Rattus norvegicus: one gene and its partners. The protein of the gene in region 1 purifies or fractionates together with the protein of each later gene. This does not show direct contact. Links are inferred from orthologs where the notes say so. Each region holds a gene or a part of one and is shown on either strand. Other genes may lie near its edges. The genes, in order: Tubg1, Cct3 and Lgals3bp.

Evidence for each region.
Region 2: the proteins of Tubg1 (region 1) and Cct3 purify together in Homo sapiens (affinity purification with mass spectrometry; 3 studies listed by BioGRID and IntAct, with this or other methods). This does not show direct contact. The link is inferred for Rattus norvegicus from reciprocal best matches to the Homo sapiens genes TUBG1 and CCT3.
Region 3: the proteins of Tubg1 (region 1) and Lgals3bp purify together in Homo sapiens (affinity purification with mass spectrometry; 3 studies listed by BioGRID and IntAct, counting the BioPlex papers as one, with this or other methods). This does not show direct contact. The link is inferred for Rattus norvegicus from reciprocal best matches to the Homo sapiens genes TUBG1 and LGALS3BP.

The regions. Positions count from the first base shown.
Region 1 is NC_086028.1:86,555,133-86,561,700, reverse strand, and holds the end of Tubg1 (tubulin gamma-1 chain), read right to left. Parts: intron 5,822-6,568; coding exon 5,753-5,821; intron 4,930-5,752; coding exon 4,850-4,929; intron 4,206-4,849; coding exon 4,079-4,205; intron 3,886-4,078; coding exon 3,799-3,885; intron 3,692-3,798; coding exon 3,542-3,691; intron 3,110-3,541; coding exon 2,957-3,109; intron 2,879-2,956; coding exon 2,717-2,878; intron 2,355-2,716; coding exon 2,157-2,354; 3' UTR 1,968-2,156; downstream 1-1,967. UniProt on the Homo sapiens protein: Tubulin is the major constituent of microtubules, protein filaments consisting of alpha- and beta-tubulin heterodimers. Gamma-tubulin is a key component of the gamma-tubulin ring complex (gTuRC) which mediates microtubule nucleation.
Region 2 is NC_086020.1:176,060,959-176,067,526, forward strand, and holds the start of Cct3 (T-complex protein 1 subunit gamma), read left to right. Parts: upstream 1-2,570; 5' UTR 2,571-2,680; coding exon 2,681-2,711; intron 2,712-4,730; coding exon 4,731-4,792; intron 4,793-6,255; coding exon 6,256-6,306; intron 6,307-6,383; coding exon 6,384-6,446; intron 6,447-6,568. Other genes in the region: Tsacc (TSSK6-activating co-chaperone protein), read right to left, coding at 813-849. UniProt on the Homo sapiens protein: Component of the chaperonin-containing T-complex (TRiC), a molecular chaperone complex that assists the folding of actin, tubulin and other proteins upon ATP hydrolysis.
Region 3 is NC_086028.1:104,124,164-104,130,731, forward strand, and holds the start of Lgals3bp (galectin-3-binding protein precursor), read right to left. Parts: upstream 3,686-6,568; 5' UTR 3,551-3,685; intron 1,843-3,550; 5' UTR 1,822-1,842; coding exon 1,770-1,821; intron 46-1,769; coding exon 1-45.

The DNA of each region.
Region 1 (6,568 bases):
GCAGGGGTGGAAGCAGGAGGAGCATGGCGAGTCTTAGGTAAGCCTGGGCTACATAGTATGATGTAATCTCAAAAAAGGGAAGAGGGGCTTAGTGCCTAAAAACACTTGCTTTTGCAGAGGATCTGGGCTTAGTTCCTAGCATCCACACAAGTGGCTTGTAACCATTAGGAACTCAGGATCCAATGCCGCCTTCTTTTGACGTCTGTAGGCAGCCAGGCATACACATTGTATGCATACACACATGTGGAAATAAAATAAATACATCTAAAAACATGGCTTGTTTGGCTTTTACCTTAAAACAAACACAGGCGCCAGGCACAGCATAGTTTGTTCCAACTCTGCCACTTCAGGCCACTTAACAGTGTCTGTGATCTACTCCTGTTTGCTCCTTTTAAAAACGAGATAGGTAATGACATCCACCCCTTCATAGGTTTTAAACAAACCAACGTACATGATGCATGACGTCCATCAGTCATTGTAGTTCTTCCCTGTGGGGCAGGCAAGAGTTTAGTGAGGCCTTTGCAGTCCTCTATAATCTAGGGGGAATCTGCCCTTTGCATCCCAAGGATTTGGGGGGGTAAGTAGGTTTTTCGGTTGTCTTTCGAGATAGGGTTTCTCTGTGTAGCCCTGGATGTCCTGGAACTCCATCTCTAGAGCAGGACGGCCTTGAACTTGGAGATCTACCTGCCTGCAGAATGCCAGGATGAAAGTTGTGTGCCCTTAGAGCCAGGCTTGGAGCCCAAGGATTTTGTTTTGGTTTGGTCTTTTCGGTTTTGTTGTTTTATTGTTTTTTATTTTAAATTTATTTATTTAGTGGCTGTGTTTCTCTGGGTAGCCCTGACGGTCCTGGAACTCACTCTGTAGACCAGACTGGCTTCCAAGTCCGCCTAACTCTCCCTCCTAAGTGCTGGGTTCGAAGGCATGCACCACCCACCGCCACCCAGGACTCTAAGGGTTTAAGAGCCACAAAATCACTGTTTGTCTGTGATCTTCCTCCCACTGGCCTTTTAAATAAGTGGAATTTGTAAAAATGGAGGATACTGGGGTGAGAGCTCAGAGGTTAAACACACTGGGCACTCTTCCAGATGGCTTGAGTTCTGTTCTCAGCACCAAGACTCACCATCCACAACTAGTCTAGTTCCAGGGGATCTGGCACCCTCTTCTGGCTTCTGCCGGTACTACATGTACATGGTACACACAAACATGTAGATAAAACACCCATATATCAAAAATAAATTTACAAAAAAAATGGGGTGGTGAGATGGCTTGGCAGGCAGAGTGGCTTGCCCTTGAGTCTGACGACCTAAGTTCTGTACCCTGGACGCACACGGTGGATGAGAAATTTCTCCCAAGTTATTTTCTGACTTCCACACTTACCCCAAGGCTTATACATACTCATAATTACATCCAAAAGGACTGAAAGGTAATAAAAACTTTACATAAATGAAGACCAGTTGAGAACAGAAATGGAACCAGTTTTGACTCTGCTTGTGTAGGCACTGGACACGGTCTCCTGATGTTCCCTAGACTCCAGTCAAGGCTCGCTGGGACTGGCTCTTCAGCACTGGTCTGCTGGCCTGCGCTTGGAAGGCACAAAGGCTGACTGCCCTGGTTAGGGGCTCCGGGTAGGTAGTGTGGTGGCCCCAGGCGTGTCTTTGCAAACAGGACACTCCGGTGTGGAAACGTGCAAGTGGAGGAGTGTTCCTCTGGTCCAGTGTGACGGAACTGAGAGCAGAGGAGGTTGGATGGAGAGAAAGATCTTATCTGTGGTTCCTTTTATTCTGGAAGGAATTCCAGCAGGGTCAAGAGCCATCTGTGTCTTCCACAATTAGGCCAAAGGCAAAGCTAGAGGCGGGCGGCTTGCTGTCCAGAGTTGAAGACGTTGGGAGTGCAGAAAGGAAGCGTCAGTGACACAGAAACAGGTTCCTTCAGCCCCTGTTCCCAAGTGTGAATTCAGAGACCAGTGACTCGGTTTACATCCAGTGCTTTATTAAAGATAAATACTCTCAAAGAAGTAAACCCGCCCCTAAGCCAACAGACAGTGCATGTGTATGCGAGTGATTGATGAGGTCCCTGATCTGTGCTCTGAGGGGTAGTCAGCCAGGCAGGGCCTGGGCTAACCGGTAAGGCAGATGAGGGTCCCTGTCTCGGGCGACTCATTGCTCCTGGGTGCCCCAGGAGATGTAGTCTGGCCGTGTGGCCGCATGGTACTCGTCAATCAGCTGCTGCACAATCTCCCTGGAGGTGTCCATCTCGTCAAAATTGTCCTTGAAGATGTCCTCCTTGCGGAACTGCTCCATGAAGGCCTCCCGTTTCCTCAGCTTGTCAAACTGGCGACAGGTCCTTTCAAAAAGCTTAGGGCACAGAGATTGGGGGTGGTCACAAAGAAATCAGGAAACAGTACAGCCTAGAGGGTCAGGGAACCAAGGTATGGTTATTCTCTAGTCAGATGCTAGGAGCAGAGGTGGAAGGAACGGAGACAGTGGGTAGAGCAGAGGCAGCTCGTACGGTTGGAGAGGTGAGCTTCAGAAGGGCACCCAGCACAGGACACAGAACTAGGGACAGACAGGGTGGGGACTAAGGACATAGGGAATGGAGCAGAGTGGCCAAAGACCAGGAGCTGGGGTGTGGCTCAGAGTGGGGAGAGCTACCTCCCATTCCCGAAGCCCTGGGTTTGACTCCCGGTAACACAGGGACAACAGGAGACTGTGCTCACCGAGGAGATACTGGTGTGGTTGGCCATCATGAGCCCGCTGACCCGGTGGGCTGAGGGCAGGTAGGGAGACTTCCTTGACAGGGCCACCTGGATGCTGGCCGGGCCCCAGGGGATAAAGTTGGCCAACTTCCTCTCCCGGATCCTCTGCAGGCTCTTGTGGACCTTGGGTGGGCAGAGAGGTGGTGGTGGCTTCTTCTCCATCCTGTGGTCCCCAGGCTAGGGTGAAGGGGCCTCCCTTACCTGGGTGGGGTCCACCTCTCCCTGGATGATGTTGAGGATGGCGATGTAGCAGTGGTTGGTCTGACGATCCCGACCTGTGGACACCATCACGTTCTTGGGCTGTAGCAGTCTCCTCATGACATCCAGGACTGTTGTCTTCCTCACACTGGCCACCTGAGGGAACGGGGATTCACAGGGACCCGGGCAGCAGTCAGGGAGCAACTCAGAGAGGCATGGACAGAGGAGAAGGGTCAACTCTGTCCCCATCAGCTGGCAGGAGGTGTGGCCTCTGGGGACTGTCTTTAGATCAGGTCTGTGCTGAGTCTCTGCCATGGGATTAGGATCGATCAATTGATCGATCATGGCTCTCAGCTCACCAATCCCATGCCCTTGAGCAATGAGCAGGAGACCCCATTGGGCAGCACCCCTGCAGGAGCCAAACAAAGGTAGTAGAACACGGAGGCAGGGCTGCAAGCTGGTGGCAGTGTCAGGCCCTGAGTATAGAACCTGGGAGGTGGGTAGAGAAGGGCTGCAAAGAGCGGGTTTGTGTGGGAGAGTATGGAAAAGGGAAAGGCCTCAGTGCTGGGACACTGGGGGAGCTCTTACTGACTGGTCCGTGGTGAGGGGGGTATAGCCAGTCATGAGGAAGTGTAGTCGAGGGGTGGGAATGAGTGAGGCGATGAGGCCGATGAGGTCGTTGTTCATGTATCCGGGGTAGCGCAGGGTGGTGGTGCTGGCTGACATGATGGTGGACACCTGGGAGCAGGAGATACTGTGTCATGGGGCTTGATGGAGGTGGAGCGTCCCTCCTCTGATGACTCTCTCGCAGACAGAGGGCTCTCATTCCAGGAGTGGGGGCTCACCAGCTGGTTGATCTGGGAGAAGGATGGGTTCTGGATGTGCAGGCGGTCTGTGGCGATCAGGTTCAGGGCCGTGTTGTCCAGCACCACCTAGAAGAGATAGCAAAGGGTTGAAGATTTATAAGGGCAAGAACACCGCAAGCTTGGCCTGAGTCTAGCCTTGAGCCTTATGGTCGGAAACACTCACTCCAAAGGGACCTTCTCAGGCTTATGGCACAAGAGAGCTCAAAACGAAGATGAGCAGACAGGGGGATGGGAGCCGGAACAAGAATCCAGGCCTCACCACACAGTCCGCGTTCTGGGTCAGCCTCTTTAACGTGAGGAGGGAGTTGTAGGGCTGGACCACCACGTCACTCATCTCGTCCTGGTTGGGGAACACGGAGTACGTCTGCACTAGTTTTTTGGGGTACCTGGTGGGGTTGAGAGGAGAGGGCAACATTAGAGATTTTGTGAACATCAACCTTCTCAACGGGTGGGTCTAGGAGCATTTTTCTGTGAATCGGAAAAATAGAATTGCGCCAAAAGCAGCAGAACAGGAGGTCGTAGTTTTTTTTTTTTTTTTTGAAGAATTATTTATTTATCTATGTATACTGTAGCTGTATATTGTACACTGTAGCTGTCTTCAGACACAGCAGAAGAGGGCATCAGATCTCATTACAGATGGTTGTGAGCCACCATGTGGTTGCTGGGATTTGAACTCAGGACCTCTGGAAGAGCAGGCAGTGCTCTTAACCACTGAGCCATCTCTCTAGCCCTGAGGTTGCAGTTTTTGAAAGGATAAAACCCCAAAAAGGGCAAGGGAAGAGACATTGTAAAATCCTATGCTCCAAACCTGGACACATCCCTTGGCCATTCAAAGCTGGGCCTACATGCTGGGCTCTGAGCTCTGCAAATTCTATTGGGTTTTTGCCTTGCACCTTCAGTTTCCTCCCAGTCTGAGGATTCGAATGGAAAGGCTACAGCACATGGGGAGCTATGTCTGCTGGGCCCCAAGTGCCTTAGGGAACAAAGAGAAAGGACCCATCTTCACCTAGCCCCACAAACATAGGCTTACCTGTCATTTAGCCGTTCCAAGAGGTAGGAGCCCAAGCCAGAGCCTGTCCCCCCAGCAATGGAGTGACACAGTACAAATCCCTGTGTAAAAAAGCGGCTTATAAGCATTTTGGTGTCTGTCTGGTGACAGGATCTAGTTTAAAAAGTTTAAGCTTATTTTTATTTCCCGTGCCTGCCTGCATGTATGTATATGCACACATATGTGTGCATACATGTGTGTGCCTGGTGCCTGTGGAGGTTAGAAGAGGGCATCAGGGGGTTGGGGATTTAGCTCAGCGGTAGAGCGCTTGCCTAGCGAGCGCAAGGCCCTGGGTTTGGTCCCCAGCTCTGATAAAAAGAAAAGAAAAAGAAGAGGGCATCAGATCTCCTGGAAGTGGAGTTATAGATGATCGTAAACCACCATGCTGGGTGCCGGGAACTAAACCCAGGTGCTTTGCAAGAGCAGTTAGTGCTTGTAACCACAGTAGCCATCGCTCTAGCCCTAATTTCCAACTAGACACATCCTGAATTGTGTTGGACTCTTGTCTTCCCAAGTCCCCTCACTGCCTAGGAGACTGTCTTCTCTTTAATAAGGCTTGGTGGCTTCTGTGAAATGCAACGATGAATGAGTTGGTCTTGTACCTAACAGGTAGCTTTTAAAAAATTGTTCTAATTAGTGTGTGTGTGTGTGTGTATGTGTGTGTGTGCACGCACGCCACTGTATGTGTGCAGAGTCAGAGCACAACTTTTTGGAATCAGTTCTCTTTTTCTACCATGGGTCTTACGGACCACACTTGGGTTGTCAAGCTTGAATGCAAGCATCGTCACCTGCTCAGCCATCTCAACGGCCCAGAGCAGGGGATTTCTAAATGGTGTTGCCAAGTCTCTACATGTCCACCTCCACTGACATTCCTGGGACACTCACCTCTAGGCTGTCACTGCCATCTGCCTCCCGATCAATGATGTCAAAAATGTCCTCGTGGATTTTTTCTCCCTGGACAGATATGGAAGAGGGTGAGGTGGGACAGGAATTGACCTTGACCTCAGTGTACCCACCATTGATTATTTATACACACACACACACACACACACGCATATGTATATGAGTACTCTATATGTATGCCTATATGACAAGAGACAGCACCACTCAGAAGAGGGCATCAGATCCCATTACAGATGGTTGTAAGAAACCATGTGGTTGCTAGGAATTGAACTCAGGACCTCTGTGCTCTAAACTGCTGAGCTGTCTGTCCAGCCCTCTGCCCTTGAGTCTTACATGCATCATAGCTGCCTTGCTTTGCACTGAGAGGTACTACAACAGTGGTTACAGGCAAGTAATTTACAACCCAACCAAGCTGATCTGTTCACACTCAGGTTTGAACTGCTGGAGCCCGGGTAGGACCTTGCTTATGCTAGCAAGGGCTCTACTTTCTTTCTCTCTCTCTCTCTCTCTCTCTCTCTCTCTCTTTTTTTTTTTTTGGGAGACAGAGTTTCATGTAGCCAAGGCTGGCATCTAATTCTCTGTTTAGCTGAGGATAACCCTCACATACTGGCTCTTCTGCTTCACCTCCAGTAAGTATCAGGCTGCCCAGTTTTTTTTTTTTTTTTTTTTTTTGTTCTTTTTTTCGGAGCTGGGGACCGAACCCAGGGCCTTGCGCTTCCTAGGCAAGCGCTCTACCACTGAGCTAAATCCCCAGCCCCCAGGCTGCCCAGTTTTATGCAGTGTTAAGGACTGAAGCCG
Region 2 (6,568 bases), on another chromosome or scaffold:
CAATTGGCACATGGCAGTGCTAGAATTAAACCAGGGTCTCTAGACAGCAATGCTATGCTCATCATTGAATGAAATTGAATGAAAAATAACTCATCAGGGGTTGGGGATTTAGCTCAGTGGTAGAGCACTTGCCTAGCAAGCACAAGGCCCTGGGTTCGGTCCCCAGCTCCAAAAAAAAGAATTAAAAAAAAAGGGGGGGGGGCTGGAGAGATGGTTCAGCAGTGAAAAGCACTGACTGCTCTTCCAGAGGTCATGAGTTCAATTCCCAGCAACCACATGGTGGCTCACAACCATCTGTAAAGAGATCCGATGCCCTCTTCTGGTGTATCTGAAGACAGCTACAGTGTACTCATATATAATAAATAAATAAATCTTAAAAAAAAAAAAACCTCATCAAAGTCAGATGTGGTAGGTAGTACATGCCTGTCAACTCAGCAGATGGGCAGGCTGTGGCAGGACTATTTTAAATTTGAGGCCATACTGGTCTATATAACAACTATTTAAAAAAAAAAAAAGAAAGAAAGAAAGAAAGAAAAGGAAAAAGAAAAGCTATCCATTTTTTTCCAGCTCCCTTAGCAGTAGGCCATACCTATAATCCTTGGGCTGTGGATGCTCTGGCAAGAGGGCTGTCTCAAGTTTGAGGCTAGTGAGTCCCATGGCCAGCAAAGTTAAACCTGTCTCCTTTACCCAAAGAAATCCCACAACTGCTTTCCAAGTAACCAAGTGGTGGGCAAAGCCAGCCATTTCTGCAAACACTGAGTGAATCAGGAAGGCTGGCTTCTGAGGAAGGGGACGCAGGGGTCGTGACACACCTTCTTCCTTAGTAGGATTACTGGTGTGCTGCTCCATCTCAACAGCAACAGGTGTGGTGCCTGAGGAAGAATAACAGGGTCACAGGGTCACACGACAGGGCTTTGTTTCCTGAGCACTCCCCCGAAGATCCGAACCGGCCAGAGCTGCTCTAATGTTGGGAGGCAGAAGTGTAACAGTGTATACCATCTCATAGAGGTGTCTGTTTTTAAATTTAATTCTTTTGATTTTTAATTATGTGTATATGTTCACGTATGAGGAGATCTCCCTCGAGTTAGAGGTGGCTGTGAGCAGCTGGACATCAGTTCAGGGGACTGAGCTGAGGTTCTCTGCAAGAGCAATATATCCTCTTAACCCACTGAGCCTTTCCTCCTGGCTGCTCACTGATGGGGGGCGGGGAAAGGGGACGACTGAAGGGGTTGAAATCGCTATCCTCTTGACTTAGCCTCTGGAGTTCATTACAGGAGTGTGCTACCACACCAGGCAAACAACTACTCTGAAATAGTCCATTTTTCTCCAATTCCCTTCGGCAGAGTTATTTGTTAGTGCCTTTTCACTGAAGACAAAACAAACCAAATACGAACTTTAAATCTACCACAAACATGTCATGACCCTTCAAGTCTTCTAAATGTTTAATTACTAGCCTTGTTTTTTGTTTTTTCCTATATGGAGTGATCTGGCAAGAGGGCTGTCTCCAGTTTGCGACCCGCCTGGGCTACACGAGTCTTGGGCCAGCCTTGGAACTCTAGTAAGATAATATGGTAATTTAAAAAACTACAGCTCCCTTTCCTTGGTCACTAACCAGTGATCAGGCTATGCAGTGGGGGGAAAAGGCTCAAAATTCTACAAGAAACACGACTTAGGATATTCGGGGTAAATGTAAGAGCTTCTCCTTTACGTCTTATTGCCTTAAGATTCAAAGTAATTTTTCTAAGACGTAAAACATTAGGACAGGAGAGATAGCTCAACAGTTAAGAGCACTAGATGGTCCCACAGAGGCCATGGGTTCACTTCCTAGCACCCACGTGGTCCCACGAGGTGGTTCACAATCATCAATTCCAGTTCCAGAGGATCAGACTCCCTCCTGATCTCCTCTCGCAAGTGGTGCACCTACATACGCATAGGCAAACCCACCATACACATAAAAATAAAAAAAAAAATAGGTACATCTAAAACACCAAGATTTTTCTTTTCTTTTCTTTTAAAGAAAAGCAGCGCGTCTAGAATAAACCACAACTCCCAGCATGCTCCGGGGTGGGGTGGGGGAGCCGTTGCGGCCCCGCCTCATAGGAAAACCTCCACTTCTACACCGCCTCAATATTTCTGGCAACTACCGGTATTTCCGGCTCCTGTGCTCCTCCCTACTGCTAAAGCTGGAATAAAAAGTGGCGAACTATTATGCCTTTCTTGGCCTTCACGGTCGGACGAGAACCGATGGACAAAATAGAGCTTCATGATCTCACCTACAGCATTAATCCAAAGCCTCAACCCCAGCACCCACCCTCTAGCGGGCACTCAAGCGCTGTAGCGAGCCAGCTAACCGCCCGTGCCTTGGCGCTTGCGCAGACATTCTGCCCGCACGCGGCCGGGAGCGGCCACGCTAGTGCGCAAGCGCTTGCGTCCCCCCACCCATCATGCTCTCTCTAGCTAGCTTGCCGTGCCTTTCTTGCGTAGAGGGCGGGGCTAATACCTACGATTGGCCTATGTTTATGCCAATCAATGAAATGGGCTTAGTGATTGGCGGTACTTCAGAGGTTAGCATGTTTCTGTGTCAGTCCTGAGGAGGCAGCGTTTCCTTCGCTGCTCTTCTCTCCAGAAGGTTCTGCCGATTTCCCCCAGCTCTGGAAAGTCGGCTCTTCGTCGTGCCGCCATGATGGGCCACCGTCCAGTGCTCGTGCTCAGTGAGTTCAGGGAAGCGATGGCTCCCTCCGCCCCTCTCTCCCCATGCTTGCCAGTGTTTCCCGGCCCCGTCCCGCCATGACTCGGCCCTCGTGCTTTCCAGTCGTCTTTTCGCCTTAGAACCTCCTTCCTTAGTTTTTCTCCTCCTGCCTTCTCCTGTCGCCCTCTTTTGACAAAATGACTTTCTGCTCTCGGAGTCGCTAGTTTTTAACGTGTGCTTTATCCCATTTGTGTTCCGTTCTTTAGTCGCCACCCTCCACGCCCCCGTGTCCTTTACAGCATGATTTCCGTCTGGTAGTTAGTAATAGTGGTTCTTAACGTTAGGCCTTGCTTCGTATCCTCGGTCCATCCCTTAGGAGAGGCGTGACTTACGGCAACTCGCTTGATTTATGCTTTAATAACAGTGTTTAGGAGACCGTAGTACTTCTCCAAAGAATTATGAGTTAAGTTGGTAAGTAAAGCTTCCTTTACCGGCAGATCGGAAATGGCATCTTTTCAGTAGCGGTCATTCAGCAACCCTTGTTCTGAAATGACATTCCTTGCGTTCCCGATCTTGAATGTGATCTTTCCCACCAGCCAGTTAAGTTCTCCCAGATTCCTCTCCTGTTTTCTTTAACTAACGCCTCTCATCTCAGTAAAGAGCACCAGTTCCTTGTCAGTTACCCGAGCTATTGAGAATAATTCAGTAAACCGGGTTCAAAGTTAAGACATACTAAAGAGAAAAACATGTAGTATGGCCACACTGAGAGGAGAGACAAAGGGGTTCAGTGACACTACCCCTCCTACCAACACTTAGATGAACGAATCTATGGGGTTTTAATTAGCAGACCAGAGGCATAAGGAGTCATCGTTTTCTGCTCTAGTCTCCTGAGAAAGTTTACCTACAGGCTGGCTCTCCAGGCATCAACATCCCCTGGAACTGGAGTTATGGGCTGTTGTGACCACCATGGGGGGCTGGGAATTGAAGCTGAACCATCTTTCCAGCCTCACAAGCACACTTTCTTGGTCACTAATCTTTGAGACTCTGTAGCTCCTAATCCCACGGAGGTTGTAAGGGATGTGCACTCTGGGAAAAATCACCATCCTGCTGAGCCCCATTCAGGGACCTAAAGATATGAATCGCTGGAAGTGTGTGAGCATGCATACAAGGAAAGTATTGGTCAAGATTCTGAAGTTAAAGCATTTCAGGTTATCTCTTAATGTACTGGGGCTTCTCTTCATTCTGTGTGTCTTTTGCCTGCATGTATGTCAGTGTCTGCAGACACCAGAAGAGGACATCAGATCCCCTGGAAGTGTAGTTATAGATGGTTGTGAGCTTCCATGTTGATGCTGAAATAGAACCAGAGTTCTCTGCAAGAGCTTCCAATGCTTTTAACTACAGGGCCATCTCTCCAGCCCCTAAAGGTGCTTTTTGAGACAGGATCTCACTTTGTAACTCTGACTGGCCTGGAACTTTATAGACCGAGTTGAGTTGGTTCAGAAATTCATCTGCATCTCCAGTGCTCAGATTAAAGGCATATGCTACCATGCCCAGTCTTAAACCATTGTAATTGTAACTGCTGGTTATACACTGAAACCTTTGTATTTTTGTTTTCAAAACTTGATAAATAAGGTTGGTGGTAGGATCCCTAAGCAGGTTTAAAAAGAAAAAAAGCACCAAGCCTAATAATAACTGGAGGTCTTTTTATTATGGTTTGTTTGTTTCGTTTGAGACAGGTTCTCTATGTAAACCAGGCTGGCTTCCAAGTCACAGAGATCCTCCTGACTCTGCCTTATAAGTGCTGGGGTCAGAGACATGCGCCACCATACCTGACTTAGATGACCAAGTTTAATCCCTGGCACTTATATGATAGAAAGAGAATTTAGTCCTGAAAGTTGTCTTCTGACCTCCAAAGTTGTGCTACGCATTGTACACTTGATATGTACATATATACATTAAAAAATGTAAACATTTTCTTTAAGTTAGGAAATAAAATGATTGTGTACACTGGGCTATTGACACGTGTTTTTGTCTGTTTTAGGTCAGAATACAAAGCGTGAGTCTGGAAGAAAAGTTCAATCTGGAAATATCAATGCTGCAAAGGTAACACATGTTTTAAGTGATAATAGCAGTTCATTCTGGATGACTCCCTAATATTTCAAATATTACAAATCTTCATTATTTGTAATAGCAAACTTCCTATGGTTCTGTACAGTTGAACAGAGGAAAACGCATGTTTCCCTGACAGTGATACAGGAAGGGAGGTTTTTAAAGATTTACTTATTTATTCATTGTTTGAGTGTTTTGCCTCCAAGTATGTGTACGTGTACCATGTGCATGCCTGATGCACAAGAAGCCTAGAAGAGGTTGTCAGATCCCCCTGGAACTGGAGTTCCAGGCTGTTATGAAAGTTACTATGTGAGTGGTAGGACTTCTGAAAGAGCCTAGGTCCTCTGAAAGAACCCTGTCCCCTCTTTGGAGACAGGATCTTGTCGGGGTTGCCTAGAATTTTCTATGCACGCCAGACTATCTTTGGACTCAGATCTGCTTGCCTTTGTCTCCCAAATCCTGGAACTAAAATCATGTGCCAGCACACTTTCAAACTCATAAATATATTTTTAAGTGAATGATTGAAAGACTTGATTTCATGTGGCTTAGAGACCACTGTCAGTAAAAATATTAAGGCTGGACTCTTAGGACACTAAAACGGAAGACTTTTTTTTTTTTTTTAAGATTTATTTATTTATTTATTTATATGTAAGTACACTGTAGCTGTCTTCAGACACACCAGAAGAAGGCATCAGATCTCATTATTGATGGTTGTGAGCCACCATGTGGTTGCTGGGAATTGAACTCAGGACCTCTGAAAGCAGTCAGTGCTCTTAACCACTGAGCCATCTCTCCAGCCCCTGAAGACTCTTTTTGAAAGTTCATTTATCATGTCTAAAATAGTTAGCATTCTTGTTAAACACTGACTCTGGCTGGAAAGATGGCTTTTTTTTTTTTTTAACAATTTCTAATTTACTTTATGTATGAGTACACACAATTGTTATCTTCAGACACACCAGAAGAGGGCATCAAATCCCATTACAGATGCTTGTGAGCCACCATGTGGTTGCTGGGAATTGAACTCAGGACCTCTGGTAGAGCAGTCAATACTCTTAATTGTTGAGCTATCTCTCAGCCCCAAGCACTTGCTACTCTTGCAGAAGACATAGATTTGATTCTCTAAACCCAGGTGGTAGCTCACAACTTCCTGTAACTCCAGTTCTAGGGCATCCAACGTGCTCTTCAGGCATCCATCTGGAGCACAAACATGTATTTGAGCAAAAGACTCGTACCTGTAAAAAATAAATCTTCAAAACACTGGCTATGCACTGGGCATGGTGGAGCACGCCTTTAATCCTTTCATTGAGAATCAGAAACAGGGCTGTCTCTTACGTTCAAAGCCAGTCAGAGCTACCTAGTAAAACCCTGTTTAAAACAAAGTAATGGTTCTGTTTGTGGTTCTTCGAAACACATTATTCTCTGACTATGCTTCTTGTTTTGTATTTCCTTACCAACAGACAATTGCAGACATCATCCGGACCTGTTTGGGACCTAAATCTATGATGAAGGTTGGACTACCTTTTATTGGAACTCAAACTCCATGTCCTCTTTTTTTGTTATCTATAACACTTTTGCTTTTTCTTAGATGCTTTTGGATCCAATGGGAGGCATCGTGATGACCAATGATGGTAATGCCATTCTTCGAGAGGTATGTTTGATTTTGGTTTTGTTGTTGTGTTGTGTTGTTTTGTTTTTGTTTTTTTTTTTTTCTTTAAACCTCCTTTTCTAACAATTTTGAATACCAAGAACCTATTCAGATACATGTAGATA
Region 3 (6,568 bases), about 18 Mb from region 1:
TGGCTGAGGCCCCATTAACCAGGCGCATGTCTCCATCCTTTGCACCTGTCAGGAGAGTGGAGATTAGCTGGGAGGAGGGCTAGCCTGGTCTGATGCCCACTCCCCGTGTACTCAATGCTCTGTGTGCTCTCTCGTTGAGCAAAGGTCACCCCAAACAGGGTGGAGTGGCCTTCTGGAGATGCCTTGAACCACTTCAAGGGGCCCTCCCCGCACGTGCATTCGTGTGTGTGTGTGTGTGTGTGTGTGTGTGTGTGTAAGGTTACCCACTGAAGGGCTGGAGAGATGGCTCAGTGGTTAAGAGCTCCGACTGCTCTTCCAGAGGTCCTGAGTTCAGTTTCCAGCAACCACATGGTGGCTCACAACCATTTGTAATGGGATCAGAAACCTTCTTCTGGTGTGTCTGAAGACAGCTACAGTGTACTCACATACATAAAAACAAATAAAAAAAATCTTTAAAAAAAAAGGGGGGGGGCTGGAGAGATGGCTCAGAGGTTAAGAGCACTGACTGCTCTTCCAGAGGTCCTGAGTTCAATCCCCAGCAACCACATGGTGGCTCACAACCATCTGTAATGGAATCTGATGCCCTCTGCTGGTGTGTCTGAAGACAGCTACAGAGTACTTATATATAGTAAATAAAGAAATAAATCTTTAAAAAAAAAAAGGGGGGGGGTTGGGGATTTAGCTCAGTGGTAGAGCGCTTGCCTAGGAAGCATAAGGCCCTGGGTTCGGTCCCCAGCTCCGAAAAAAAAGAACCAAAAAAAAAAAAAAAAAGTTACCCACTGAAGAAGAGTGAAAACTCTGATGAGCCCACAGAGGCCATGGTCTATCTAGCTCTCATCTCTGGGTCTTTTTCTCCAAGAGGACACCTTGGCTCTCAGCCTACTGAGTGAACTTGGGGGGGGGGGGAGAGGCTCTTTCCTGGCTCTCTGAAACGCTGGTATGAAGGGGAAGGTGGGTCCTGGGTTCCTAGACACAGGCAGAGAGCAGATTAACCTCGGCTTACGATGGGTGATGTCTTGACACCCCAGTGCCACCTGTCTCATGGCCTCTGGACTGTCCCCACTCAGCAACAGGACATTGCCATGCTGCCTGCTCCCTCCAAAGTGTGGGGACGAGGGAGCTGTGGTGTGGGGTCCCATTGTAAGAGAGGAGCGGGGTGCACAGCGCTGATATCCCAACTCGCACATACAGTTGCTACCTCATCCCTACAGTGTCTGCCTAGAGGGGACAACACTGGACTAGAGACAGTCTGCCCTCAGGCACAGGTAGCCAAGGGAGTCCTGCTCCCTGCTCTCTGGGACTCCCGTCTCTGTCCATGCCGGCTGGGTGCTTGAATTGGGGTCACCCATGCTAGAGCGAGATACTCAGCTGAGGGTCCAGGATGGGCAAGGCTTTCAGACCCATGGTGCAGTTTGTAAACTGTTCCACAGGGACTCTCTGGCATTCTAGCCTGTGACCTGAGAGCTCAAACTCCAGGACAACACAGGCTGCACTCTCCCTCCTTGGCCCACTGATGAGGTGAAAAAAGATTCCTTGGTCTCTTCTCCAACACCTGCATTTCGGGGAGGGGGCAGGGCCCATACAGGGCCACCATTCAGAATGACTGAGGATCCACATGGCAGAGAATCCTAAGACATGGTGTCTTACAGGATGCCACCTGGCTTTTCTGCAAAGATGGGGAGGGGGTGTGTGTGTGACCCACACAGAACAAGGCACCAAGGCGCACGGTCTTGACTTCTGTTTTGGACCTTTCGCTGAGCAGGACTCACCTTGAGTCCCTGGAACCAGCAAGAACACAGAGAGGAGCCACAGAAGAGCCATTGCCTGACCTGGAAGCCCAACCTGCAGCAGAAGGAACAACAAAGTTAGACTGGCCACAGCTCTCCGGAGGAGACTGGTAGTTCCATGGTCCCCTGTCAAGTTTGTGGAGGACAGGATGGTGTTGTGGGTGGTCCCTCTTCCGTAAGGCCCAGATGGCCATGAGATGACCCTTATGCAGGCCTCTCTCTCACATGCTCTATGGGACAACCTTCAGGACAGTAAGTCTCCCCAGATGAGGCAGGTGGGTTGAGGGCTCCTGGCAACGAGAACCCAGGAAATAGACAAGAGGCTATCCCTCAACGGTTGGTCTTATCTTCAGGCAGCAGCCCCCTTCGGGGTGTGCCCCAAAGGGACAAGATATGCCAGTCTGGGAGGGTGTTGTGGATGAGGTTGGAGCAGGGAACTCTCAGGAGGAAGTGACAGAGACAGTTGCAGAGGTCATGGCGTGATCTGGGGATGAGTGGGAGATGGGTCAGGGTCAACTGCCAAGGTGCTGACACACAGGGACTCAATACTAAGACTCTCTCGCCTGTCTGTAGAATGGGCCCCACCCAGGCACTTTCTCTCGGGCCCTGCATGAAGGGGGCTGACCTAGAGAGCAAAGTGCAGCAGCCCTGGTAGACTCATTCTAGTCCCGAGGGCAGTGAGGTCGGGGCTGGTAGTGGACGGTGCTGTAGAGCTCTGTCTCCTGGGCAGGAACTCAGCAACGAATCTCAAACTGTTTTGTTACTCAGACCAGGGGCCCAGAGACCAGCAGTAGAGGTTATCCCAGGATCAGTAGAAACACCAGGATTGTCCTCCACCCCAGACATTCTGTACCAGAGCAGCACGAGCAAGACCTCAGTGATCCAGGGCTCTTGTAGCCATCTTGGCAAGGGTGAAGATAGTCTAAGACAAACTCGTGCCCTTCCCTTCGGTTATCGTACTACTGAAGCAAGGACAGAACTGGAATTCCCCCTGGGAGTCTCATGCTGAAAGGAGAAAGCTGTTGCCTGGTGACAGCCGGAGGGGAAGCTTGTCTCCAGGAAATATCAGCCCAGTCTGGGATTTACAGCCCAGGCATAGGGCAGACCAGTTAGCTATACATTCCTCTATGTAAACCTCATGTTAATATCCCCTATAGACTCTGGGATGTTAATGGGGGAAGGCCACTGGACTCTTCTCAGTGTGGCTGGCGGAGTCTGGCTACCAGGGGAGCATTCTCACTATAGGCTCTGACCGCTGAACTCTATAACTCGATGATGGGTGGGAAGCTTGATCCTTAGTGCTGTGCACCCAGTCTTATCCCAAGGAGGTCTGGGTTCCGGGAAACCTGAGTCCCAGGCAAAGTGCCCTGGGTGCCCACCCCCTCCATTTACTATAAGCTGTGGTTATAGGGTTTGTCCATGCTGGGTCAGGAACTTTAGGCCTTGGGAACATTGCAGGGTATGTGGACATTTTTGTCCACTGGATGACAGGGGCTGTTTCTGCCTGACTCCTTTGTGTGGGAACTTGGGATGTGCCTGCCTATGCTGGCTCATTCAGTACCACTGTGTAGGTCTGTTTAGTCCTGGGTGAGAATCCACAGACCCAGGAGAAGGCCGAGGGATGAACTGTACCCCACTCACCCCTTCAGTTGTTCTTTCAGTGAACATCCTGCCTAACTGTTTAGAGGCTCTGCAGGTCTAGGTGTTCCTGTGTTCTGCGACCCCCCCCCCCAGAAATTATGCTGTGTAGAGCGGGGACTCACCTGGGAGCAAGAGACAGGTAGTCAGTCACCTGTCCAGGCAGCTGCTGCAGATGGTCCTGGAGCCTCCTTGCTGGCTGCAGCTCGAAGCTTTCTGTAGACTGTTCAGCTGAGAAAGGCCCCACCATGTGGTTTTCCTCAGCCTCTTCCCCGGAAATGCTTTATAAACCTAGTCTAGTTTCGATTTCCAGAAAACACATGACGGAGGCTGCCTCTGGGGTTGGCTGCAGACAAGGCTAATAGCCCTCTGCTTGCTGCTCTGCAGGGAGGATGGCAAGCACCCAAGTGCCCTGTGCTGAGCTGATAAAACAACAATGTTGCGGCTGAACAGATACATGTCCAGGCTGGCCAGGCAGGCACCCTGGGAGGGCAGCTTGGAAGGGGATGGAACAGATATATCCCCTTGCTGGCCTGGTAAGCACAGTGGGGGGCAACTTGTCCAGGCTGGCCAGGCAGGCACCCCGGTGGATGGTGAGAAGATGCTGCAAATGGGCCGGGGAGCAGAGGCTCAGGTCACACAGTGTCTGTGAACATGGATGTGGGCTGCACAATCCTTTCCTGGATCTGGGGAGGCTGGCTGTGCTCACTGCACAAACCTTCCGTGCTCAGAGCATGCTCGGAGGGAAGGTATGTGGGCCACAGAGTGGTCCTGAGGGATGGGAATCGAGATAGAAAACAGGAAGCAGGGCTAGGAGCTAGGGGTGGCTTGCTGGTTAAGAGCATTGCCTACTCTCTCGGGGGATCTGAGTTCAATTCCTGGCACCCATGTTGGTTGGCTTGGAACAGGCTTTAAGTGAACTCCATGGGATCAGACTTTGTAGGCACACACATACACCCAAGTGTGCTCATGCATGCACACACGCAGTGCACATACGTTTAAAATTTAAATCTTAAGAGGTTTCTTTAATACCTGTGGTGGCAAACACCTTCAACTGGGAGGCAGAGGTAGGTGGATCTTTGATAGTTAGAAACTAGTCTGGTTTGCGTTGTAAGTTCTAGGTTAGTCAGAGCTACGCAAAGAAAGCCTGCCTCGAAGGAAGAAAAGGAGAAAAACAAACAAACAAAAAACCCAAAACAACAACAACAACAACAAAACTAACAACAACAGAGATGGTAACCTGCAGCCAGCCAATCTTGACACTGTGAGTTTGATCCCTGGAACTCACTGCAGGAGAAAACTGACTCCTGTAAGCTGTCTTCTGATCTCTGTATGTCTACCATAGCCTGTATGTGCATGCACGTGGACACACACAGTAAATAAATGTGAAAAATTATATAAAATTCAAAGAGGACTGGGAGGTTGCTCAGTGGTTAGGAACACTTGTTCTTCTTGCAAAGAACCCAGGTTCCCTTAGGAACTCCCACATGGTTGCACACAATCACCATAACTCCAGTTCTAAGGGATACAACGCCCTCTCCTGATCTCCATGGTCACCAGGCACATATGTGGTGCACACACATCCATGCAGACAAAACTTCCAAATATATAAAATACATTAAAATTAACCTTATGATAGGTTTATACAGTGACCTAAATCCCAACAGCTCCCTGTGGCTCCCCCAGCTGCCAGCCCCATAAGGTTTACTACCTCAAGACACTCAACTCTTGAATGCTATTCAAAACGTCCGACACAAATGACCCAGGAGGCAAAGTCAGGTGACTTCAAATTGGTATAAAATCACCCTGTTCCTTTCTGATGTATGGTTCAGGAATTTACCTGCTGTGTTTCTGTCCTTGGTGTCTACTTTTTTTTTTTTTAAGGATTCATTTATTTTATGTGTGTGAGCATTTTGCCTGCAGGCAAACACACCATGTACATGTGTGCCATACACCTGTGCGTATGGTGGCCAGGGTATCAGGTTTCCTGGAGTTGGAGTTACAGACGGTTGTGAGCCGCCATGTGGGTGCTGGGAATTATACCTGGCTTCTGTGCAAGGAGTATTCCTTATCAGTTGAGCCATCTCTCCAGCACCACCTCCCAAGTGTCCTTTATTAAAACTTCTACATCAATTCTGGTCTGGCAAATCCTTTTATCCTGTGCTTTGAGCTCTTTGTCCCAGGTATGACACCAGGGAGGGAGGCCCCGAGGTCCTCTAAACCCAGATAGTAACTTGTGAGTGGATACACTGGGGTTCCATACACACCTGACTCGATAATGCGATCTCCCTCCCAATGGCCCCAGGGACCCTTTAGGGTTCAGACCACCACAGGCTCTGCCTGGCTTACACCCATTCCCCTTCCTCCACAAAGACAGACAGACAAACAAACAAACAAACAAACAAACAAACAAACAAAAAAGCAAAAGACCGGGTCTTGGTTTCTACTCGGGGAGTCCTCAGTCAGTGCAGCTCAACCTGGGCTGGCCATCTGGTGTTCAAAAGGCCCAGGGAGTTCTGGGGTAAAGCCCTTTTGGGTTCAGCAAAAGGCTTTTGGCCTCAGAGTTCAGGGGTTGGACACTCAAGGACTGGCTCCCTTGGATGTGAAGTTTCCATTGGCTATGGGGTCATTCAGTCCTGGGAAAACCACGCAGAGAGCTACAGGCAGGGATCAGCCTGACTCTGCAGATGTCCAAGCTTGTTGAACCGGGGGCTAACTTGTGGCTTCTGTCACCTTTGGCTGAGAGTGTGAGAGGGAGAGTGGAGGTGTACCCTGGAGAAGAGAAGTGGGGGGGACAGTCAGCCTACCTGGACTGCCTGCCTGGTGGCTCCAGGAATCAACAAGTCTCTTTGGTGCCTCCATCCTGGGGCAGGCCCATTAATCACCTGGAGCCCGGGACCTAGGCTTCTCCTGGGGGAAAGGATGCCAAGTTACAGAGGCTGTCACAGGGTGTGTAGTCTGTGGCAGGCCCAGTTGCTCTATGGTTCTCGGCCTTCCTAATGCTGTGACCCTTTAATACAGTTCTTCATGTGGTGGTGACCCCCACCATAAATAATCTCATGGCTACTTCTTCACTGTAATTCTGCTACTGTTGGGAATGGCAGTGCAAGGATCTGATGTGCAACCTCAAAGGGGTCATGACC